Mus musculus: one gene and its partners. The protein of the gene in region 5 interacts with the protein of the main gene of each other region in a pairwise test. Links are inferred from orthologs where the notes say so. Each region holds a gene or a part of one and is shown on either strand. Other genes may lie near its edges. The genes, in order: Ptk6, Mbd4, Ppl, Pias1, Htt, H2ap and Mrfap1.

Region 1 (2,583 bases), on a different chromosome or scaffold from region 5:
GCAGCTGGCTTGGCTTAATTGCAAAATGGGAAGGCCTAGACCTTCTGCAGCTATGTACCTAGAGACAAAGAGCATATTCTTTGTCTGACACCCTTTCTGGGAATCATAAAGCAATCTAAGGTCAAGAGCATTGCTGCAAGATATTCTTGGTATGTAGCCATTGAACACTCTAGATAATGCGCAGCCAGCAAGTACTACACCTACAAGGGGCATGAGTTTCATCTCTGGAGACTTCTTCCTGCAGAAACTGCTTATGAGATCAAGCTCTTTATGAGAAACACAAAGAAAGAGAGAGAATTTAGAATTTAGAGAGAAGCTGGTGGGCTAAGGCAAGTCACTAGCAGGCTACACAAGCCTATAGTAAAGTAACCTCAGCTAACTGTGAGGATAGAAATTGTGAGGGAGAGTTCTTTTCTGTACTTTTTCAAATTTTATGATCAGCAATTGGTAGATTTTTTTTGTACTTAATAAGACCATTTACTTGTCTCTTTTGTTATGTATGTATGTATGATGTGTGTGTGTATGTATGTGGAAGTCAGAGGACAACATCGGGTGTTAGTCTTCACCAGTGACGTGTTCCAGGATGGTTTTGTGGTTTGCTACTGAGCCAGATAAAACAAGAATTCTCCCATTGCCTCCCATCTCACCGTAGAAGCCTAGGGGTAACAGAAGCCCGCTCCTGTGCTTGCCTTTACACTAACTAGTTCTGAGGATTCAGACTCAGGTAACAGAAGCCCACTCCTGTGCTTGCCTTTACACTAACTAGTTCTGGGGACTCAGACTCAGGTCCTCGTGCCTGCCTAGCAAGCACTTCACCCACTGAGCCATCTCTCCCACCATTGGTTTTTTTTTTTTTTTTTTAACGATTTGTATGTATGAGGCAATGTAGCATGTGTGATGTAATGCATGTACTCATTATTAAGGGTGTGTGCACATGTATACATGTGTACATGTGCATGTCTTTCCTTGATTGTTTTATATCTTTGGTTTTGGGGGGTTTGGGGAGGGAAAGGAGAAAGGTTTGAGACAGGGTTTCTCTGTGTAGCCCTGGCTGTCTTGGAGCTTGCTCTGTAGACCAGGCTGGCCTCAAGCTCAGAGAGCAGGCTGTCTGTGCCTCCAAATGCTGCCTCCAGCACTTTCACCCGGGAAAGGAGACTGGAGCTTTGCACGTACCACGCAGTAGCTGCAGCAGGTTCCCCTTGGGCATGAGCTCCGTGATGATGTAGACCGGGTCCCCTGCAGTCGCCACAGCGTACAGTGACAGGATGTGCTTGTGCCGCAGCTTCTTCATGGCCTGAATCTCAGCCTGGAAGGTGTGCTGGTGCAGGAGATTGTCTGAGAGACATCAACCTCAGTGAGTATAGCCCTCGACCTGTGCCCCAAACAGGATCCTGGCCCAGACCTCCTGAAGCAAGTCAGGCAATGTGGTCAGCCTAGGAAGACAAAGGCTGGCCTCCAAGCTACCACACTAAAGCCTTCCCCACCCCGAGCCCTCAGTGCCCCAAGACTGATGTGTCCATTTGCCCTCCTGTGCCCAACTTGGTCACAATTGCCAAAGTCAGCATTTCCCAGCCAGATGTTTTCAAAGTCCTGGCTGACCTGATTCTTGAGGTTTCAGGTATAAACCTGAGGGTGACGTTGGGATTTGAGATGAAACTCACATTTCCAGTGACTTGTTTAAAAACAAAAACAAAAAACAAAACAAAACAAAACCAGGTACAATTGAAAGAAGTTACTCCCACCATGATGCTGTGGGTGCCCAGCAAGTGTGTTGGGATACCCTCAGTGGGGGAAGACTGGAAGTGCCTACTAGAAGGACTAGTGGGGAAGCAGCACGTGATCATGTTGAGTTAGTCCTGGGCCTGCTCACCTCTAGAGATCACCTTCACAGCCACATGGACCTGGCCTTTCCAGAGCGCTTCAAAGACCTCCCCAAAGTAGCCGGCCCCCAGCTTCTTACAGAGTGTGAACTCCTCCCTCGGCCTCTCCCAGTCATCCCAGTGGGGCAAGGGCTCAGTTTTGTGCTGGAGAGACAGAAAGGGCAATAGGAATGGGTAGGAATGGGGGCTGGGTCGCCCAGCTTGTCTTCAGGAAGGGCTTGCTCCAACCCCTCATGAGGAGCTCTATTTATTATTTATTATTTATTATCTATTTTTTTAAATTTAGAGATAGATCCAGTATCTGGATATCCTCATAAAATTGCTGCTGTCTTCATCCATCAATGTTAGGGACTGGTCCTCAGCAGGAGCACATCTGAGCTCTGGTGAGCCAGTGTAATAAGAGCAATAGCCAAGGAGATTGCCCTGTCCTGTGCCCCCATCCCCTCCCCCCCATATTATACCCTACCAGTAGGACCCTGGGCAACTATGTCACAGAGGAGCCAGTGGCCTACCTTCCAGCAGGGCATGGACAGCTGTAGGCCATGAGACAGGCTCTGGGTCTTATGGTAGTCCACAAGCTCAGACAGATTGGAGAAGGATACCGCCTCATTCAGGTGCAGCCGGCCCTCGTTGTTCTTCCAGATCCTGTAATGTCGCACGGCCTGAGCATCCCGGACTGGGGTGGGTGGCCGGCGGAAGGAGA
Region 2 (4,211 bases), on a different chromosome or scaffold from region 5:
CAGATTCTTGCTATCCTTTCCCATTACGGACAAAAATCACTTGGCGGTATTGTTATTTTCCTTCCTAAATGCTTACCTGATAAAGTATACATCAAATTTTCCTGCAGTTTTCCCAGATAACCTTTGCTTCACAACTCTTTCCCATCCACACGGGACAGGCTTGTGGCCTTCTGTCGCTGTAGTACTAGACAGAGTAGAAGCAGTGGGCTCTTGGAGAAGGGAGCTGCGCTCACTGCTTATCACCAGGTCCTTTCCATCTTCTCCCACTCCTCCCAGTCCAACAGCAATATCTTCCTTGCTGGAAAAACAAAACCCAAGTGATGAACTTAAAATTGCTTTTACCCTGCTTCCTCAGTTTCTGCCCACAGCAGTATGAGACTGTATAAAATACAAATTAAAGTCAGTGAGCTAGTCTTGTGCCATGAGGATTGTCCAGCTCTAACAACTTCTTGTCCTTCAACATGAGTGTCCTCCTCCACCTTGATTTTCAAACAGGGTTTCTCTGTGTAGTCTTGGCTGTCCTGGAACTCACTCCATAGACCAGGTTGGCCTCCAACTCACAGAAATTTGCTTGCTTCTGCCTCCCAGATGTTGGGAAGAAAGGCATATACCATCACTGCCTAGCTCAACATGGGTTTTTAAATGTTAGGACTCTCCACACAGTATACCTGCTAAACTTTTTCTTAATTCACACTATAGGGATTCAATAAAGGATTCTGATAACAGTTGTTGGAAGTCTGAGATATGAGCCAGTAACTGAACTTTTCATCTGAGATCAGACAAACTGCTCAAATGAATCACCCCCTCTTTCCTGCAAACATGTAAGGGGAACACTTCACATATGTGTGCATTTTTGAGAACCAACAACTACCACTTTTGTAAAATAGCATGGCCCTCCAAAAGCTACATAATTTCTGGTAAGAACTTCCAGCTCTCTTTCAGTCTTGATTCTCATCACTTTGTGAGGTTAAAATGTACTCTCATTGGGTGGTGAAGAGATGGCTTAGCTGTTAAGAACACGAGCTACTCTTGCAGAGGTCCTGAGTTCTATTCCCAGCAACCACACGATGGCTCACAATCTTCTAACTGTAATCACATGGGACCTGATGCTCTCTTCTGGTATGCAAGACAAAGCACCCACACCCACACCCCATGTATATAAAACATATATATAACATAAATAAATAAATCTCTAAGAATTATTTTACTCTTATTGACAAATTGTGTGATAACAAAATCAAATCACCTGCAGAGTGGACCCCGAAACCTAGGCCCACCTAATACTTCTCCCATACTGTTATGGGGGGGGGATAGTTCCCACAAAACCTCCAGTGCAGTGGATCTCTTCCCCCTTTAAAGAATTTATTTATTCTTATTTATGAGCACCATGAAGGTGCTGAGGCCTGAATGGACTTAGATCCCCTGGAGCCAAGTTATAGATGGATGTGAGCCTCTGCTGTGGGTGCTGGGAACCAAACCCAGGTCCTACAGAAGAGCAGTAAGTGCTTTAAACAATTGAACTATCTCTCCAGTGTTTAGTACAGTGTATTTTAATCACTAAACTATACATTTTAAAAGTGAGGGGTTGGAGAGATAGCTCAGTGGTTAAGAGCACATATTCCAGGAGACTCCGTACCCACATCAGGCAGCTTATAACACCCTGCCTGCAACTCCAGCGCCAGTGAACCTGACACCTCCTCTGGTCTCCACCAACACCTACGTATATAGACAAACACATAAAGAAAAAAAAGTGGGTCTCTAGAGAGACCTTCTAACCCAACCTACTTTCTACAAATAGGGAAATAGGGACACTAAGCAAGACCTAGAGACTAACCACAATTAGAACCATGGCATTCTTAGATGGAATTTGGCGTTAGGTATCAGCTAGAAGGATCTTATAGGGAGACAAGGTAACTGAAACCTGAGGGAATCCCTACAAAACTGTTAGGTTAACAAAATGGGTCAAAACCCCAGCTCGCTACTTATTATTAGCTGATCTTCCAAAGAGAAAGTCACTTTGAGCTCAAAATCTCCGTTCTCCATCTGTAAAAAGGAAGTAGCATTAAAAAAAAAAAAGTTTTGTTGTTTGCTTTTGAGCCGGGAATCTTATGTACCATAGGCTAGCTTTGAACCCACGACGTACCAGAGACTCATCTTCAACTTCTGATCCTCCTGCCTCCACAGGCAGACGCCGCCAAGCCCGGATATTCGGTGCTGTCGCTCGAACCCTCGGCTTTGTGTTTACTACGTAAACACTACCAACTTAGTTAAATGCCCAGCCCTTAAAAGTGTTTGAGCGCCCAAGTTTTGGGACATGCAAATACGTGCATCATTTTAGCCCGGACACAACAGTAGCTTCCTCTGTGACTTGTCATAGGGCTATTTCTGAGGGTCCCTTCCGGCCCAGGCTAACCTGCTTGCATCACAAAACCTCCCTTGTCCTCCAAGCTCCCCAGTCAGTTCGGCCAAGGAATCGGGTACACCCTAGTCTTGTTCCCACAGGGCGACAGCTCTAGGTGCCACCTTGTGTTAAAGGTTAGGAAGACCCACACAAGAGCGACTCCTCTGAGGCCCGAGAGAGGTTTAATAACTTGCCAGCGATCCCAAGGCGGGTCTGGAACTAGGCTCTCTCCACGGACTCTGTTGTCCCCAAGGTTTGGGCTCTCCATCCCTGCTGCTTTGGTCCACTGGGGCGCAGCTGCAGCTCCAGGCCGAGAGGTGGAGTAAAACACAACTCAAACCACTGAGCCGAATCCAAACACCGACGTGAAAGTCAATCAACCCACACAGCAGCCTTCCCGCCACCGCTTCAGCTACAGATGCCACAGCCAGGGTCCCGCCAATCAAACCCTCTGTCGTCAAGACTCCCCGCCCCACCCACCTTTCCGGACCAATCGCTCGTGTCATACTTACGCTTCCGCCTCCTGCGTCCCTACGCGCCCGGCGCTTCGGCGGAGGAGGTGGGCTCCCTTTTGTACATGCGCACTTGGAGCTTTGGGAAACTCATGCGCGGTTCATTGCGCATGTGCGTTGCTAAGGGTAGCGCAGGTAGCTGAAGTGGTTTGTGGAAAGAAGCCTGTTGCTGCCGAGGCTGGGAGGAGGGGCCCGAAGCGTGAGGGAAACGGCGATGAGGGCCGTGTTGACGTGGAGAGACAAAGCGGAGCAGTGGTGAGGAGCGGGAACTTCGGGGATGGCGGGGAGGCGGCAGGAACCGGCGCATTGCCATGGCAACGGGCCTGCGGCCTGGACCGAGGACTCTGATTCCGTGCCTTCAACTTCCCAATGGAAGAGAAGCTGAGATTCCTGGAGGGGCATAGGGATCATCTGAGGGAGGCTGGAGCAGTTTATACGTCATCATCATCCAATTTCACTTCTCTCTTCTCAAAATTCCTCACCCACCAGTGTTTTCTCAGCTTCCTAACCATCCTCAAAGTGCCCACACTTTTGTTTATCTGACATTCTTTAAATTTCTCCTGTTTTTGTTGGTTTGTTTTTGAGATAGAGCCTCACTTTAAAGCTCTGGTTGGTCTGGAATGCACTATGTTGACCAAGCTGGCGTTGAACTCACAAAGATACATATGCTTCTAGCTCCCCAGTGCCGGGATTAAAAATTTTCGAGCAGGAACAAACAAAACGGTGTGAGTAACTTGCATCTCGGTTCTGAGCATTTCCACCTGAGCTGAGATCTACTGTGTCTGAAACAGGACATTTCCATGTACGGTCAGAGAAACATGTAAGATGCGATCAAGTCAAGACATCTCTTGATTGGGAAGTTTGAGGAGTATTTTCAAAATTAGTACTTAAGAGTGAGCTTAATTTAAAGCTTAATTTTAAATACTGAGGATTAAGGCTTAGTATTTAAGAGCACTTTGGATAAGTTCCAGGACAGTCAAGTCTACACATAGAAACCCTGTCTTTAAAAACAAAAACAAACGAACAAAAAAGAAAAAGAAAAAAATATATAGTAAAAAAAAATATTGGGCTGGAGAGATGGCTCAGAGGTTGAGAGAACTGTCTGCTCTTCAAGCGGTTCTGAGTTCAAGTCTCAGCAACCACATGATGGCTCACAACCATCTATAATGACATCTGGTGCCCTCTTCTGGCCAGCAGGTGTATATGCAGGAAGAATGCTGTATACATGATAAATAAATCTTTAAAAAAAAATCAAAAAGTGTTTTAAAAAGAGAGAATGACAATAGAATGACTCTGTC
Region 3 (3,500 bases), on a different chromosome or scaffold from region 5:
CGGGGAGAGCTGGGAGCTGACAGACAGCACTGGGAAGAAGCTGGCTGCCCCAGCCGTCTGCTTCATCATTCCCCCCACCGACCCCGAGGCCTTGGCTCTTGCTGACAGGTACAGACACAGAGGAGGGAGAAGAGAGTGGACCCACGCCTGGGCTCCGCAGCCTCTCTTGTTTAAACCCTCTTAGTGGCGGGTAGGATGCGACACATGCCTCTCATTCTGGCCTCCCTTAAAGGCTGCAGGAAGAGTGGCAGGCTAGGTTGGCTTGCTGAATTGGATGTCTGGCTAGGGGCCAGTGCAGCAGGTGTGTTCTCTTGGTGCCTCTGAGCCTTTGCCAAGTCTTAACCATCCCACCTGTGGCGCCTGTGTCCTGCTTCACCAATTCTGGCCCTTATTTTGTGCTCAGTAGGTCCCCCACCCTTTCTCTCTGTTTTCAGGATCTTTCAGAACTTCATTTTGCTAAGATCTGTGGGTTTGCCCCTTGACGTCAGTGTCAGGTGGCAAATCGCTCAGTCATGTGAGGACCCTTTGCTCAATGAGTAGACTCAAGGGGGTCCCTGGGCTTCTTCCTACCATCTATCAAACACCCGCTGCGCACCGTCCCTGCTAGTGACAGATGCTTCTAGGTAGCGGGGCTTGCAACGGAAGGTAAAGGAGAGGGGACAGAGGCAGAAGAGATTCTTCCCAAACCTTGTTGGTGTAACTCATGACGTACCTTTATTTCATTACTTGTTAGGGAGGAGGGAATGAATGCATGTGCATGTGACAGCACATATGTGGAGGTCAGAGGACAACTTGCTAGAGATTGTTCTTTCCTTCTACCATGTAGGTTCTGGGGATCAAATTCAGGCCTTCAGCTTGGTGACAAGCACCTTTACCCACTGAGCCATTTTGTTACCCCCTGCATCGTCCCCCCCGCCCCCAATAGTATTTTTGACTCTTCAAAACCCTCCAAGGAGCTACTTGGCTCCCATGGGCTGTTGCCCAACCCAGGATGGGAACCTGCTAGGAGGCTGGTATGAGACCAGGGTCCCCAGCACATTCTTGCTCTCACAGCCTGGGCAGCCAGTACCGAAGTGTGAGGCAGAAGGCGACTGGGAGCAAACATGCACTCCAGCAGCGGCATGAGGTGCTAAGGACGGAGAACCCTGGAGGTGGGTACCAGGGTGTCCTGTACAGGGCCAGGGACATGGGAGAGGGGATGAAGTAGACTGTGCTGTGCATGGGTGACAAGTATCTGCTAGAGGGCTGAGAGAGAGAGGCCAAGCCAGCCCAAGGACCTGGTTGGCTTTTGGGGCCTCGTGCTCCTTCACTGTCATCCCTGATTTGTCCTCCCTACGACAGATGCCTCTGATCTTCAGGGACGACAGCTGCTGGCTGGCTTGGACAAAGTGGCCAGTGACCTGGACCGGCAGGAAAAGGCTATCACAGGGATCCTACGGCCACCACTTGAGCAGGGACGGGCAATTGAGGATAGTGCGGAGCGGGCCAAGGGTCTCAAGGTATTGCCAGGCTGGGGCTCCTGCTCAAGGTTCCACCTCTGTGGGGCCTTGGGACATTCAAAACAGGTGTTGGATAATTATAGAGGTAATTATGGAGAGCTGTCCCAAGGGTCGGGGCCCAAACAGATGCCCTGTCCTGGAGCTCTGGCATATCCCAGATGTGATCTGGCTCTGTTTCTGAGTGGCTTTTCAGCCTAGTATAACAGCCATAATAATGATAGCAGGAACTAGAGTCCTAGCAGTATCTGCTGAGTGAGGCTGTGGGCAAGAGGTGGATTGGCTGTGGAAGGGCAGATCCAGCCCACTTCTGCTTGCCCTGCCTGTGACAAGCCAGGGTCTCCTCCCTCTCCCTCTCCCTCTCCCTCTCCCTCTCCCTCTCCCTCTCCCTCTCCCTCTCCCTCTCCCTCTCCCTCTCCCTCTCCCTCTCCCTCTCCCCCTCCCCCTCCCCCTCCCCCTCCCCCTCCCCCTCCCCCTCCCCCTCCCCCTCTCCCTCTCCCTCTCCCTCTCCCCCCCCTCTCCCTCTCTCCTCTCTCTCTCCTCCTTCCCTATCTTCCTTCTTTCTCCTCTTCCCCTTCCTCTTCTTCCTCTTATTTCTCCTCCTCCTCCTCTTTTCTGAGACAGGGTTTCTCTCTGTGACCCTGGCTGTCCTGGAACTCACTCTGTAAACCAGGCTGGTCTCTAAGTCAGAGATCTGCCTACCTCTGCCTCCCAAGTGCTGGGATTAAAGGCGTGTGCCACCACTGCCTGGATCAGGCGTGGGCTGGTCCTCATTTGAGCTGCTGAACCTGGTAAGAGGCCCACGTCTCCATTGACCACTACCTACTCTCATATCCTTCTGCCTGACAGCTCTCTGTGGTAGGTCCTGCCATCCCTGTTTTAGAGAAAATTAGAGTCAGAAAAATCCAGTGGTCTCTGGTGCCTGGCACAGGAGTGAGGGGTAGAGGTCCAGGGGCATAGGCCCACAGTATCACAAGACTCCAAGTTCTGTGGAGTCACAGGATGGGCATATCACAGTATCTACCTGGCAGGTTGCTCAAGATTTCATGAACTCTTTCATGAAAGGTATATAGAGTATCCTGTGTCCAGGGGCAACCTGCTGTTGTCTGAGTTACGGACTTTAGCAGTCCACTTGTACCAGATCCTCATTAAAAACACAGACCCTGGGACGGAGAAGAGAGCTTGGTCAGTGGAGTGCTTGCTTTACATAGCGCACAGGCAAGGAGGACCTCAGCTCAGTCCCCAGCACTCACATCAAAAGCTGCGCATGGCGGGACACCCCCATAATTACTTCCACTGCTGAGGAGACAGGATCACAAGGAGATCGGTGAGGCTTGCCAGCTGGCCAGCCTAATTGACAAGCCCCAGTTCCTACTAAGAGATGCTGTCTGCAAATCAAACAGACAAGGCAGGGCTCAAGAGAGGCTCAGTTTATAAAGTGCTCACACACAACCATAAGGACTGAGTTCAGATCCCTAGCATCCAGGCTTAAAAAAAAAAACTAAAACCCAGCATGGTTGCACTGGTCTATAAATCTGACTTTGGATAAAGCCTACTTGCTAATTGGTAAGCACTGTTCTCAGTGAGAGACCTGTCTTAGAAGACAAGACCGTGATCTAGAGAGAACTGACACTGACCTCTGACCTCCACATTTACACTCCCACCAACTCCACCTCTCCCTTCCACTCAAAATAAAATAGATGGCTCCCAAGGAATACTGAGGGTGACCTCTGGTTTCTCATACATATACCCACCCATGTTTGTGCACATACACACACACACAACCCACAGACTGCCAGACTGGTGATTGGGCTCCAGATGGACACCCCAGGGAGGTGAGCCTTCTCAGCCGTTCGCACTGTCCCAGGGCACATCCTTGACGGAAGAGAGCTGTAGGGCTGTGGTTGACCCGGGCAATCTTGATCTCTGTAGAACATTACCAATGAGCTGCTACAGATTGAGCCAGAGAAGACGCAGTGCACAGCCGAGTGTGAAGCCTTTGTG
Region 4 (3,500 bases), on a different chromosome or scaffold from region 5:
CATGGTCCCTGTCCTGAAAACCTTCCAGGAAACAAGATGTGGCTAGTAGACTGATTGTAACCCCTGCCTGACCTGTGTAGACCTGAGGGAGGGTGTGTGTGATGAATTTGTCTTTTTAGAAAAATACATAACTATATCTCCTATATAGATAGGAAGAAAGGAATTTTTTGCATAGCCATATGGTGTATTCATGTTTTAAGTGTTTAATTATAAAGAATTAAGTAGTCAGAAGCCTAAGATTTGTAGGCAGTTAATGGTTAATGGGGGAGACATTTTCTTCAGTGATATAGCCAGTGGTAAGTTGTCTGTGCTCTGTAAGCAACACTGACATTTGAAGTGGACTGTTGGAAAAGGAAGGAGACCAGCTAGGGGAAGAAAGAGCAAGAGAAAGTAGTAGAAGTGGTTATGGTTAAAAGACATATACACGTGAAAATGTTAGAACTCATTGTGTTTAATTTGTATGTTATGAATGTTTTAAAACAAAGTAAAATTAAAGAAAGATAGCTTTGGGATTTTTTTTTTTTAATAAATATAGAATGGTCTAAGCACAGAGTGCTGGTAAAGCCCACATAGTGCACAGATCTGTCCTCAGCCTTCACAGCCACTCCGCAGTGCTCCCTGACCCGGAGAGACTTGCAGCTCCGCACACCCGACTCAGAGTGCCCCACGCAGGTGGGACATTGCTTGGTTTTTACAGCAAGTTCTTCCTGCGCTTCCCAGCTCAGAGATGTTCATGTGCGCAAACCCTTTGCCCAGCACCTACAGTGCTGAGAGCAGAAGCAGGCTGCACCGAGCTGCAGCCCAGCCTGGGAGCAGCTGAGCAGCTGTGAGACAGTTCTCAAGCTGAACTTGCCATTGGAAATGTGGGATGTATCCTTCCTACTGCTTCTGAACACCTCAGAAACAGAGGGCTAAGAACTGCATGCAATACAAACTACATGCACACACAATCAAAAATGTCATTCCAGTCTCAGATACCATGCCAAAGCGCTCTCAGTAATAGTGACCAGTCGTTTACTACAGAATGTGTTGTCACTTGAGGAGCCTTGTTCTGCTGAGAAGAGTACGCCGAGGTGCATCTGATTGTAACAGAGTGTTTTGTCTCTGGTCCCTCCTAGCATTACAACACCTCCCTGCTAGCCGCAGCTGCAGCGGCGGTCTCAGATGACCAGGACCTCCTGCACTCCTCCCGGTTTTTCCCGTATACCTCCTCGCAGATGTTTCTCGACCAGCTAAGTGCAGGAGGGAGCACATCTCTGCCAGCCACCAACGGAAGCAGTAGCGGCAGCAACAGCAGCCTTGTGTCTTCCAACAGTCTGAGAGAGAGCCATGGCCATGGTGTGGCCAGCAGGAGCAGCGCAGACACAGCGTCCATCTTTGGCATCATACCAGACATTATCTCATTGGACTGACGCTCTCACCCTGCTGCTCCCACCCCATCCCAGATTAAATGACTTGGCAGAAGAGAACTCTATGCTCTGTTTTACCTTATCCTGTTTAGAAAAGTATACAAGCGTGGTTTTTTTTTTCCTTTTTTTTAGGGAAAAAAAAATTAAAAGAAATGTACAGAGAACAAAACTATATTTTCAGTTTTACTTTTGTATATAAATCTAAGACTGCCTGTCTGATAAAACACTTGTTTAAAAAAAAAAAAAAGAAAAAAGAAAAAGAAAAAACAAGCACCCACAAACCTTCAGTTCATTTTTTCTGGATTCTGAAGACTTCACCATTTGTCCTGTGGTTTGGGTTTTATTTTACTTCAATGGCATTATCTTTCTTGCAATAACGGAAACAATTGCATGTATGAGGTTTAAATTGTGGGCTTTGTTGTGGGGATGGGTTTGGGATAGCTTTGATTTCCATTTTTTAAAAGTGACAGACTTGGATTCTGTTTGTGTGTGCGTAGATTTTACCAGCCTTAAGTTATGAGCCTCGTCTATCTTACTGCATACCCTTTGTTTTCAAGACAGAGCTTGTGTGCGTGAGTGCGTGCGCGCGTGCGCGCAAGAGCGCCTGTGTACCTGTATGTGCTGTTCTGTCGTCACTCGCCCCTCCTCCTCAGTTTGCATTTGGTTATTATCACTCTTGTGTGAGCATCTTTCTCAACTCTCCCTAGGTGCATGTTCTCCATCCCAGATCCTCTGTGATCTGCTGTCTACCCTCTACGAGTGTGTTTCCCAGAAGTGCTGGAGCAAACGCTGCTTGGATGCGCAGTCTGTGGGCAGGCCCTCGAATGACAATACACTTCTGTTGATTCTAAGTCTGAATTGCCAGTATTCTGTATGTAATCCAAGGCTGTGAGCACTTGCATTTTGGCAACAGGGTAACAAGTTTTCCTTGAGGATCTTCATACCAAAATGGGATGTGAAAGAACCCCCGTAGCCCCGTGGGGTGTGGAGCTGGCAGAGGTCGTTCCGTTCCACCGAAAGAAAAGAAGGAAGGAAGGAAGGAAAGAAAGAATCGGTTATCCTAAAGTTAACAGTACAGCACAGCCCACATGTGGATCCATACCAAATCTATCTGATAAATAGTTGAAACTCAAAAATAACCTTAGTTATTTTGGTTTTCTGTCTCCGAGTATACTTCCTTTCTTAGCCGTGTTCTTTTTTCCTTCACCTTTAGTGAAAGCATGACATAGGAAGCCTTTTTTTTTTTAAATTCAAGAACCAATTGGTCTCACCTACTCTCAATAGCAGAATATGTAAATATATTAAAATTTGTTTCAGGAGGTGATTAAGGGTCAAAGGAAGGAAAAAATACTTCTCATACTTGAGAGTCCGCAGAGAAGAAAGCATGCTCTGACAGTGGGAGATAGATGGCAACTGATGGAGGATGCAGGTGTAACTGCAGAGAGCCAGGGCACACCATCACCAGCTCCTGCACTGGCTTTTATGTCCCACCTTCATGTTTTCAGAGTTGTGGAAGGACCATCTTTGTGTGTGGTAAACTTGTTTTCAAGCCTTGCATCCATAACAGAAGGACCGGTAGGTATTAATCCAGGTAGAAGTCATGATGACTGTGTCTTCAGTTGTATAATAAAGGAAGTGGTTCACATGACAGCGTGGCATCTAAAAATAATATCTATTTTATAGTCTCTCTGCTACTAAAATGTCGACTTGAATTTTTGAAAAAAGTTGGTGTTGATATGTATATGTGTGTGTGTGTGTATATATATATGTATTTATAAACAAGTGCGTGTGAGTAACATCATCGTCTTCCCCTACGCATGTGTGTTCCACACAGAAACGGCTGTGTTAGAGTCACAAAACAATTCGCAATAAAACAAGACATTTGTTATCAGTTAAAACCAGAAATAGTTATGTTTTTAAATTCATCTGGTGTTATGAATACAGGTTCTACCATCTCTCATTACTGTATTAATTTAGACTCACTTCAGATAACCATAATTTGTCTAAATTGGGATTATAGTGGAAATCACTGAAATTTTGAGGTGTTTCTATTAACATAGCAATAGGAAACATTATTTTAACTGAGGTAAA
Region 5 (3,500 bases):
AGACAGGTAGGAGGAGCTTACAAGTCCAAATCAGATAATCACATAGACCTTGCTCAATGCTTTGGGCAGAGGGTCCTGTACAAAACAGTGGCCAGTTCCTAGGAGTGGCAGTGTCATTTGAACAGATCTGAAAGGGGGTAGAAGAGATAGAGTGTGGCTCCTTTGTTTATGGTGCCATTGGTCTAACTCATATTCCAGCCAGGCCCCTGCTGCTGCCATTGGGCAAAGAGGCACCAACTGGAGATCCCATGAGTTAGAGTGTTACAAGTTAGCAAATGCATGGAGCAAACAGACACCCTGAAGAACCCTGACTAAGAACATAAAGAATGTTCAGGGAGAGTGAAGTGGTCTATGGACAGGTACAGAATTGGAGATGGCATGCTAAGCTAAGGCCATGCAGCTCTGGAGTGTAATCCCTAGGCCATCCAGGTGAAAAGGCCTGGAGAAGCTGACATGACCCCAGAGCTCTGTACTCAATAGATGTGGGTGGATAATGCTTTAAAACTGTCCCCTCTGCAGACAGGCAGGGGCTGCTGTATGTGACTGGGTATGATTATGTGTCTCCCATTCTTAGCTGCGTGAACATTCACAGCCAGCAGCATGTGCTGGTAATGTGTGCCACTGCTTTCTACCTGATGGAAAACTACCCTCTGGATGTGGGACCAGAATTTTCAGCATCTGTGATACAGGTGAGAGGGCTCTATTGAACATAGGCAGGTTACCATATTAACTGTACCAGTGGGTCATTGTGCTTTTGGGGAAGATAAGAATAAGCCTTTCTTCTTGTCTAGATGTGTGGAGTAATGCTGTCTGGAAGTGAGGAGTCCACCCCCTCCATCATTTACCACTGTGCCCTCCGGGGTCTGGAGCGGCTCCTGCTGTCTGAGCAGCTATCTCGGCTAGACACAGAGTCCTTGGTCAAGCTAAGTGTGGACAGAGTGAATGTACAAAGCCCACACAGGGCCATGGCAGCCCTAGGCCTGATGCTCACCTGCATGTACACAGGTGAGTGAGTTGTAAGGGTCATAGACTCACCCAAAGACTCAAGCCAGGCCTCATGGTGTGGCAGTCTTAGTGTGGCCCTAAGACATCCTGGTCACCTTTCCAGAAATTTAGGGCTCAAGGCAAGAGAGTAGCTCACATGATATCACCAAGTATTGATATCAGAGCTGCCTCTGGCCACTGCATCCCTGAGAGTTGGAAGAAAGTTGGGCTGGGTCCTGCCTTGCTAGGGACTGTAATCACCTGTTTTTGAAGGATCTCTGCCTATCTGGTAAAGTCCTGTTTGAGCCACTGAGTGCAGATTTCAAAACTCTTGGGCTTCTGTTCTGTATAGCCTACTTAGTGTTTTTGTTTCAGGAAAGGAAAAAGCCAGTCCAGGCAGAGCTTCTGACCCCAGCCCTGCTACACCTGACAGCGAGTCTGTGATTGTAGCTATGGAGCGAGTGTCTGTTCTCTTTGATAGGTAAGACATGCAGCAAATCTCTACCTCTAACCTCAGTAGTCATTGACTGCCCTAGAGCCACAGCCAGAGCAGTTCTTCTGTGTGTATTTGTTCATTCTCTTGAACTCTAAAATGTATCTTTGCAGCCATTTTTCCAGTGCATGCATATTCACAGAGCACCACCTGCAAACCAGACTCAGAGACAACTGGACCCATGCAGGTGTACAACCAAACCACTGCCCTGGTGGATCCCATAGGCCACTGCTGAGGAAATAGATACTCCTGGAGTATAGCCAAGTGCTGTGGTGGGGCTCAGGCCATATCCACAGGAAGGAGGCATGGCTAAGGGTCTGAGTCACTTGTGTACTTCTCAGCTGTATACCACAGTTGTGTGGCATTAGTGGAATAATCATAGGTCAGCGGTCTTTAAGGATGCTGCTGAGGTAAGGGTAAAGTGTTGGATGTTGAGAGAAGAATCAACAGGAGCATAGATGGGTGTCCAATTTTGAAGGGAAGAAAAGTTGCTGATTGACAGTAGTACTCTGGGTATTAGGACATACAACAGTGAAAAGTTTTGGTACATTTTGATGTGGAGAGTCTCTTCAGTAATATCACCACCCCACCCTTTTGCTGCTATTCCTTTACAAGGCTGTCCCACAACTGCATTATTCTCCCCAGAGTGGGAAAGATCACCTTGTGCCCAGATCAATCAGGGCAGCAAAAGAACAGCCTGGATATCATCTTTGGCTTTTAAAACTCATACCCTAGTTGTGGTCTGAGCCCCACTTGGAACATTCCTGTGGGTCAAGGACCTCTGAGCCTTAGTCCATGATGGCTCTATGGGCAAGGTTGAGAGGCCAAGAGCCAGGGTGAGGCTCAAATCAGCTCCTCTCATTTCAGGATCCGCAAGGGATTTCCCTGTGAAGCCAGGGTTGTGGCAAGGATCCTGCCTCAGTTCCTAGATGACTTCTTTCCACCTCAAGATGTCATGAACAAAGTCATTGGAGAGTTCCTGTCCAATCAGCAGCCATACCCACAGTTCATGGCCACTGTAGTTTACAAGGTGAGGGTGTACTTGCCTTGTGGGGTAAGGACAGAGCAGGAGGAGGAAGGGGGAGCCAATCCCACACTTGCCGTAGGCCTGTCATCAGGGCTAGACTCATCCTTTAAGATGAGTGGCAGCTGTGGCCCCAGTCCCCTCACCCCACCCCACAGTCTGACCCTGTGCTCAGGGCTCTCTTGTCCCTAGGTTTTTCAGACTCTGCACAGTGCTGGGCAGTCATCCATGGTCCGGGACTGGGTCATGCTGTCCCTGTCCAACTTCACACAAAGAACTCCAGTTGCCATGGCCATGTGGAGCCTCTCCTGCTTCCTTGTTAGCGCATCTACCAGCCCATGGGTTTCTGCGATGTATCCTTCCTTCCATGGGACTTTGGCCAGGTTCCTTGTTCACTTAGCATCCAGTTCAGGTTTCACTGAATGTTTTCAAACCTAAACTCTAAAGAACCTCACAGGTGGGTGGTGGTGGCGCACGCCTTTAATCCCAGCACTTGGGAGGCAGAGGCAGGAGGACTTCTGAGTTCCAGGCCAGCCTGGTCTACAGAGTGAGTTCCAGGACAGCCAGGGCTACACAGAGAAACCCTGTCTCAAAAAAACAAGAACCCCACAGGTGATGCTTACCCTTCCCTAAAATGTTGACAGGGACACGAAACAGAAGGTCTAACCATTTGCCAGCCAGGGTTTATGGCAGTTTTACTGCTGAGGGAAAGGGAAGTCCAAAGGGAGGCAGGGCAGCTCAGGCCAGCCAGCCACTGGCCCTGCGGCTGCCCCATCATCTGGCATAATCTGTCCCTCTGAGGTTTTCTCAATGCTGCTTCTCATTAGCTCTCATCTTTACGCTGTGGTCACCCTCCTGGGGAAAGCCGTAAGTAAAGCTGCAGTTCCCGCCCTAACAGTGATGCCAGGAGTTCCTCTTGGCAGCCTCCTTCTCAGTAGACCACAAGAGTTACTAGCAGCAAAGCTGTCTTGGTGGTGACAGTACAGCCTCACCCTAAGT
Region 6 (2,368 bases), on a different chromosome or scaffold from region 5:
ATTTTACCTCTTCTAAAGTGGATGCTTCCTTCTGGCTTCACCATCACACCATCATCAACTGAATGCTCTGTCCCTTATGCCCACTCATGTGGCTCATGCTGACTGTCTGTACCCCTTCACCGATACCCATTTCCTTCTCCTCTGAGACCTTCCCTCCCATGAAAGAAGACTTCCATGCAAATTTTCTGCTCATCAGTAGTTTCTTCTAAGTTACCATACTGAAAATATAACTTGCCAATGAGGTTACAGCCAACTTCTGATCTTCTCTGAGGCTTCTTTTGTACTCAGAGCCAACAAGGGAGCCTTCTCTGCCCTCCCCTCCACCCAATTTCTCCCACCAGGGTCACTACCCAAGCCACCCCCCACCCCTGAGAAGTGCTCCCTTAATTCAAACAAGCACTCCTTAAGCATAACCTCCATCTTCCATTCTTTCTTTAGTATCTTGTGGATAACCTCCAACCCAGGAGAAACAAATGAAAAAAGTCAGAACAATTAGCTTTCATTTAAACATTTTATTAGTAGTCATGGACACCAGGGGAGCCTCCTCTGCTATTAGCCTTCATGGTTCTAGCTGAGTCTGTGAGGCTTTCCACCCTTGGGTTGTGTACCCCATTCTTTAGCCATTCCTTCTGGGTCCAGGCATCTCGTCAAACAGAGAGAAAGGCGCATTCTTGAAGCCTCGAGAGGGTTCGCGGTCGTTGTCTCTCTGTCTCTCTCTATCTTGTGAGATATTTTGCTGGTTGTTGATGTTGGCTTCGGAGCCCACCACCTCCAGGATGTAGTCGGTGAGGTAATCAAGCATGGCAAGAAGGAAATCTGAAGTTGTGGACCCTATGCAGGGGGTATATTGCTCCTCCTGCAGTATACGGTACACATAATTCACAGGAACCTGTACCTCAGGCCTAGAAGAAGGATCTTCTATCTGGTTGTTGTCGCTGCAAGGCTTTTCTTGGCTCTTCTTCTCCGACATGATGGTTTGATGGATTGGGCTCCGGTAAGCTCTGCCTGGTTCACCAGCAGGACTGGCTCTCTGAAGACACTGTTCAGTCAGGCCCATTGCACCCCCAGCTTCTGCACCTCATTGGTCAGGAGCTACCTTTATGACATCTTAGGCTTTGAGATGTCATTGGTGCCTGGTGGGTTATGGGTTCTGACTAGGCCTCAGAGCCTAGAAATATCTATCACAGCAATGTGGCCACCCTACCTCGATTTTGAGGAAACTGTAGCTCTCCTCAGTTTACACTTGAATTAACATTGTAGAAATAATGTTTTACTGGAAACTGTATGTCGTCACAACCATTCTTTCAGTAATTATGGGGCAGTAATAAGCATGTCAAATACATTTCCAGGTAGAGGTTTGACTGTCCTCTTCAAGCAGTGTTGAGACCCATTTTGATTCAATTTACTTATTTAAATCGGCTTGGTTAACAATCCTGTACACCTTTGAACATGTATTCATTCAGTATCTACATGAGTTGTATCTGATCTTCAAAATATCTATTTTTTTGAAGAGGAAATGCTCAGTGTGCTTCTGGTACATAGATGTTGGTATCTGTACTTTGTGTGCCATTTGAGTCAGGATGTAGCTTTCTTGGATTAGTTGGGTTAAAGCCAAGCCCTAGTATAGATATTTAATTTCAATTTTTCTTTCTATTAATATCTTGTTTCTGCTTTTTGGTTGTATTTTAGTTCACTTGTACCCAATAACTTTCCTATTCCAAGAGAAAGAAAGTATAATGAATCTTCAATCTAGTTAAATGTTAAAACCCAACTATGTAAAACTTTATTGGATATCAGGGCAGAATAATAACCTCATGAGATGTGAGACCATTTACCCTGGCTCTATTGATTCCATGGTCTTATCTATAGCCAGATCTCTTCCCTCTAGACTCGCCAATAGTTTCTTTGAATCATGTATCCTTTGAGTGATGGTAACACAAGGTTATGAGTGAGTAATCTTATACACTGTTGTTCTTCACAAAGTTTAAGAATCCCACAGACTTTTGTCATTTCATCTTCTGTCACCTTTGATCTAATCTGACATTATTTCTGCTGATATAGCATTTCCCAAAGCTTATAGATCTATATAACTCATTTCATCAAACATTTGATTTTTTTCATGGGTCCTTAATTGTAAAGGATAGTCATGCTTCATCCACAGACCCAGAGAGGCTTAAGTAACAAGGAGAGCTCTAGGGGTAAAGCCTGGATCTCCCTGGGAAGGGGTGATAGAATAGATTATGTGGGTATACTGGAGGTGGGTAGTGAAGGAACAGGAGAGACCAGTTTGGGGAGGAAGCAATGGAGGGAGAGAGTACAGGGAGAGACTACTGGAACTTGGGGGTAGGCTTGAGGGTCAATGTGGAAA
Region 7 (3,870 bases), about 1.9 Mb from region 5:
GGCAATTGCATCTGTTAAGAGCCCAGAAGCTGGTGCCTCAGCAGTACCAAGAAGGAACCATACACGTGAGGTTCAATGGTCACTCCCGGATAGGAACATGCAGAGCAGTCAGAAGTTAGGCTGGGCTGCAGTTCCCTCAGCAGACACAAGAATTCTAAGATGTCTAGGGTGGGGTGTCCTTAAAAGGGAGGGCCCTAGACTTTGGCCACCTAGGAATGAGATGATGGCCACACAGGGTCAATCCCAGCAGTTGGGGACCCAGCCCTTCTTGTCTGAAGGGAGTCAATACATTGTTGCTGTTGTATCATCAAGACTGGTAAAGAACAGGAGTCAAGTAAAAGGCAAGTAAAAGGACTGGTCTCAGAGGCTAAGACTGTGGACTTGCTACTAGGAATCAAGACTTTCCTATTCTCACGTTTCCTACAGCAGTCGAAATCCCCTTCTGCTTACCCAGACTCCCAAAACTGGAGAATGTTCATTTAAACTAAACACAGGCCACTGAAGGAAGACTTCACTTAATATTTCTTAGTAACTCTCCGGGCTGATCTTTTCAAGCAAACGAATACTTTTATTAACATGTAAGATTTTGTTTTCAACATGGTAAGGGTTTTGACCTCAAACGCTTATCAGGTCTGCCACTCATACATTTATAGTTCGACTACATATGAACCTTTAAGACGCCTCTTCTTTTAAGTTTTGGGTCCATTGCAGGTTTTCCTTCCTAGGCCACACAGGGTATTGCAAGGATCTTTCATTTTATGGCCAGGATCTCCTCGAATATATGGGGATACCAACTTGTACAGACTAACAAGACCTCTTCTCCCATCCGAGGTTCCATTTCTTTTAGAAATGAGTTAGGCTGTCCCAACAAACTCACCAGGCAGGTTACAATAGATAGTGTAGCACATAAAATTTAAATTTTGCACAAAATACATCTCTCCTCCTTTGGTCTCACACAGAAATTAAAGTCCCCCAATAGAAACAATACTATCCTCCGACCCTTCTCCCAGGTCATCAGTCCTAGCCATGTAAGGCCCATCCACTGTCCCGGATGAAGTCTGGTCTCTTCTGCCATTGCTGCATGGAGTCTTCGAGAATTAACACAGCTCCTTCAGAACTTTCAGAGGCGGTGAGCTTCAACTCTGAGTCTCAAGTGTCACAGAGATTCAAAGTTCAGGGAGCTATCAGGTCACCCAAGAAAGAGCAAAGCACCTCAAAATTTAGGAACAACAACCAAAGGCCAGGAATGAACGTTATTCAACTGCCACAGGGCTTACAATCTAGGCCCTAATTCCCGTATGTGAGCGCATTTTCCAAATCAAAGTTATTTCCCCCAAACAAACAAAAAAAAGGAACCACCGAATAATCAAAAACTCATATCGAGGTCGTCAACCGCAGACCATAGCAGAAACGTAGTGTCAGTGAGAAACAGAGGGAAGACAGAGGGGAAAAGAAAAAAAAATAAGAAGGAGATAAAAAAAAAAAAAAAGGAAAACAAAAGGCTCTCTGGTTTCAGCTTCTCCAGGGTGTCATGTCAGCCAATCGCCATCACTCAACCAGAATCCATTGGCTGGAAACCTAAGGCACGGGCGGGAGAGATTCATCACCGAGAGGTTAATCACGCTGTCCGGACAGCAAAGCAAATACCCGGCCCCCTTCTGGACGCTGTCTCACTTAGGGCCCCATGCTCTCCAGCACCATCTGGAAACTTCCACGGTCTCCCCGCCGACGATTTGCTATTACTCCTTCCCCAGGGGGGGCCTAGTTTACTCCCGAGGCGACAAGCCAGCCTCCTCCCCCACCGTCGCCCACGCCCCGCCAGGCTCCCGCCCTTACCGCGGCCGGCTCCTCACGAAGACTCGCTCTTCTCTATCCGCCGCACGAGCTGCACCAGCATCTCGGCCATCTTCGCCATCTCCTGCGCCTTCTCGTCGGCCTTCTCCGCCCGGGGGCCGCGGGGCTCGGCGCCGCCGGCACCCTGCAGGTGGTTGAGGGCGCTCTCCTCGGAGGCCTCGACCTGCGTCTTGATCTGGATCAGCATATTGTCCATCTCCCACAGCTTGCCCCGGTTGCGCGCCGGCGCGCGCCCGCGCTCGCGCGTCAGCGACGCGATGTCCTCGCGCATCTCGTGGATGACGGGCAGCAGAAACTGCTCGAAGTCCTCCTCGGGCTCCAGCACCTCCACCTCCTCGGGCTCCGCCAGCTCCACCGCGTCCAGGGGCCGCATCGCCGCTGCTCTGCTCGTCTGCACGACCCTCACGGACGGAGCTCGGGCCGAGTCCTCAAAACTTCCGCCGCCGGTCCAACTTTCCGCCTCGGAGAAGCCACGGAGACGAGTGACTGCCGAGCGGGCGAGCGACGAACAAAATGGAGTCTCAACCGTCAACCAGCGCTCGGCGCTTTGCGACCCCTTTCACGACACCTCCGCGCCCCCTCTTTACGGCCGCGCTGAAAGGGGCGGGCGCGCTCGCGTCCACGAAGGGGCGGGGCGAGCGCCTCTGCGGCCGCGCGCTGACATTAGGTCGGCCTCCCTTTCGCAGCTTTTGCAGCTGCTCTGGGTGATGCGAAGTTCGTCCCTTCCTGTATCTTATTCCGATTTTATTTATTTACTTTTTGAAACAGGACCTCACGCTGTAGCCAAGGCTGGCCTGGAACTCAATTATTTGGCTTAAACTGATCTTGAACTCTAGGCAGTCCTCTTGCCGTAGCTTCCCGTGTCGCAGGTGTGAGCCACCGCACCCGACAAGTTTACTTTTAAAAAAGAAAAAGAGCCCGCCTTTAATTCCAGCACCTGGGAGGTAGAGGCGGCAGGCAGACCGATCCTTGAGTTTGAGGTCATCCTGGTGTACATAGTGAGTTCAGTACATAGACCCTGTTTCAAAACAAATCAAAACCACCAAACAAACAACAACAACAACAACAAAAACAGTTTTTCGAAACTGGGGAAAGAGGAATCTTGGAAAGCCATGTGTGGACAGTCATCCTGCTCATAGCTCCGCCCCTTTGGTTAGTTTAAGTGAATTATCATATCTTGATTGACGGAGTGGCTGGGTGTGTTTTTACCTGACAGAGCTCCTGGCTTCCTAAGGTGAAACTATTGTCTGATGCTTTCTGAGGCCCCAGGTCACATTCAGTTGGTGATCACTTGCTGTGGAAAGGACAGAAGTTGGCTCAGACGACTACATTTGCGTAACTGTTACTCAACCAACACTGAACTTTAAGGGGAGATGCCGAATTCTTAGTCTACGATCAGACAGTACTTTCTCAGGAATCTAAACTATGTATCTCACTGGTTTTCTAACCACAAGTCGTGAAACCATTTTGCAAAAACCAACCATAGGCATATATAAAGTGCATATCTTTAATTGGACTCTACACTCAGTGGCTTTTGTTTAAAAATAATCCAGGGTAAGAACATGAATAAGCAAATGGTTCAGAGGACAATGGGATACTGTTGCACACTGCATCAGGATACTTAGACTGCAGAACCCTGACATGGGGAAAGGCTGGTATACATTGATCCCAGGAAATTCTCTTCTTTCTCTCCCTCTCGCTACTACTCTCCCTTCCCCTCCCTCACCCTCTCACTCTGCCCCTCCCTCCCGTCTTAATTGGTGGGAATGTGATCTCTATGGCTAAGACAGCTTCTACTGTACAACCCAGCAAATTAGTTGAACCCATGAATCCACCCAAAACCCTGCACATGGATTGTACCCATTAGTGATTCCCTCTGAGTTACCAATAATGTATCAGTGTCACATTAAGGAAAGAAACAGAAGCAATTCTTCTTGGAGTTGTTTAACTAAGAGTGAGTCCAGATCCGAACTGTGTGTTTCAGGCTCCCTGTGTTGTCTGTCCTCTGTCTGTCTG

What was found.
Region 1: the proteins of Htt (region 5) and Ptk6 interact in binary tests that used the Homo sapiens proteins (3 or more experiments, as listed by UniProt). The link is inferred for Mus musculus from reciprocal best matches to the Homo sapiens genes HTT and PTK6.
Region 2: the proteins of Htt (region 5) and Mbd4 interact in binary tests that used the Homo sapiens proteins (3 or more experiments, as listed by UniProt). The link is inferred for Mus musculus from reciprocal best matches to the Homo sapiens genes HTT and MBD4.
Region 3: the proteins of Htt (region 5) and Ppl interact in binary tests that used the Homo sapiens proteins (3 or more experiments, as listed by UniProt). The link is inferred for Mus musculus from reciprocal best matches to the Homo sapiens genes HTT and PPL.
Region 4: the proteins of Htt (region 5) and Pias1 interact in binary tests that used the Homo sapiens proteins (3 or more experiments, as listed by UniProt). The link is inferred for Mus musculus from reciprocal best matches to the Homo sapiens genes HTT and PIAS1.
Region 6: the proteins of Htt (region 5) and H2ap interact in binary tests that used the Homo sapiens proteins (3 or more experiments, as listed by UniProt). The link is inferred for Mus musculus from reciprocal best matches to the Homo sapiens genes HTT and H2AP.
Region 7: the proteins of Htt (region 5) and Mrfap1 interact in binary tests that used the Homo sapiens proteins (3 or more experiments, as listed by UniProt). The link is inferred for Mus musculus from reciprocal best matches to the Homo sapiens genes HTT and MRFAP1.

The regions. Positions count from the first base shown.
Region 1 is NC_000068.7:181,197,207-181,199,789, forward strand, and holds part of Ptk6 (protein-tyrosine kinase 6), read right to left. Parts: intron 2,557-2,583; coding exon 2,393-2,556; intron 2,025-2,392; coding exon 1,871-2,024; intron 1,336-1,870; coding exon 1,174-1,335; intron 1-1,173. UniProt on the Homo sapiens protein: Non-receptor tyrosine-protein kinase implicated in the regulation of a variety of signaling pathways that control the differentiation and maintenance of normal epithelia, as well as tumor growth.
Region 2 is NC_000072.6:115,850,542-115,854,752, forward strand, and holds the start of Mbd4 (methyl-CpG-binding domain protein 4), read right to left. Parts: upstream 2,801-4,211; 5' UTR 2,670-2,800; coding exon 2,596-2,669; exon of another isoform or gene 2,155-2,595; coding exon of another isoform or gene 2,144-2,154; intron 299-2,143; coding exon 77-298; intron 1-76. Other genes in the region: Ift122 (intraflagellar transport protein 122 homolog), read left to right, coding at 3,128-3,168. UniProt on the Homo sapiens protein: Mismatch-specific DNA N-glycosylase involved in DNA repair. Has thymine glycosylase activity and is specific for G:T mismatches within methylated and unmethylated CpG sites. Can also remove uracil or 5-fluorouracil in G:U mismatches. Has no lyase activity.
Region 3 is NC_000082.6:5,097,982-5,101,481, reverse strand, and holds part of Ppl (periplakin), read left to right. Parts: coding exon 1-108; intron 109-1,053; coding exon 1,054-1,151; intron 1,152-1,341; coding exon 1,342-1,499; intron 1,500-3,428; coding exon 3,429-3,500. UniProt on the Homo sapiens protein: Component of the cornified envelope of keratinocytes. May link the cornified envelope to desmosomes and intermediate filaments. May act as a localization signal in PKB/AKT-mediated signaling.
Region 4 is NC_000075.6:62,879,880-62,883,379, reverse strand, and holds the end of Pias1 (E3 SUMO-protein ligase PIAS1), read left to right. Parts: intron 1-1,118; coding exon 1,119-1,412; 3' UTR 1,413-3,303; downstream 3,304-3,500. UniProt on the Homo sapiens protein: Functions as an E3-type small ubiquitin-like modifier (SUMO) ligase, stabilizing the interaction between UBE2I and the substrate, and as a SUMO-tethering factor. Catalyzes sumoylation of various proteins, such as CEBPB, MRE11, MTA1, PTK2 and PML.
Region 5 is NC_000071.6:34,904,740-34,908,239, forward strand, and holds part of Htt (huntingtin), read left to right. Parts: intron 1-574; coding exon 575-689; intron 690-791; coding exon 792-1,005; intron 1,006-1,359; coding exon 1,360-1,465; intron 1,466-2,344; coding exon 2,345-2,507; intron 2,508-2,693; coding exon 2,694-2,854; intron 2,855-3,500.
Region 6 is NC_000086.7:9,845,633-9,848,000, reverse strand, and holds H2ap (huntingtin-interacting protein M), read right to left. Parts: upstream 1,055-2,368; 5' UTR 971-1,054; coding exon 617-970; 3' UTR 501-616; downstream 1-500.
Region 7 is NC_000071.6:36,794,367-36,798,236, forward strand, and holds Mrfap1 (MORF4 family-associated protein 1), read right to left. Parts: upstream 2,389-3,870; 5' UTR 2,228-2,388; coding exon 1,850-2,227; 3' UTR 1,837-1,849; intron 1,579-1,836; 3' UTR 501-1,578; downstream 1-500.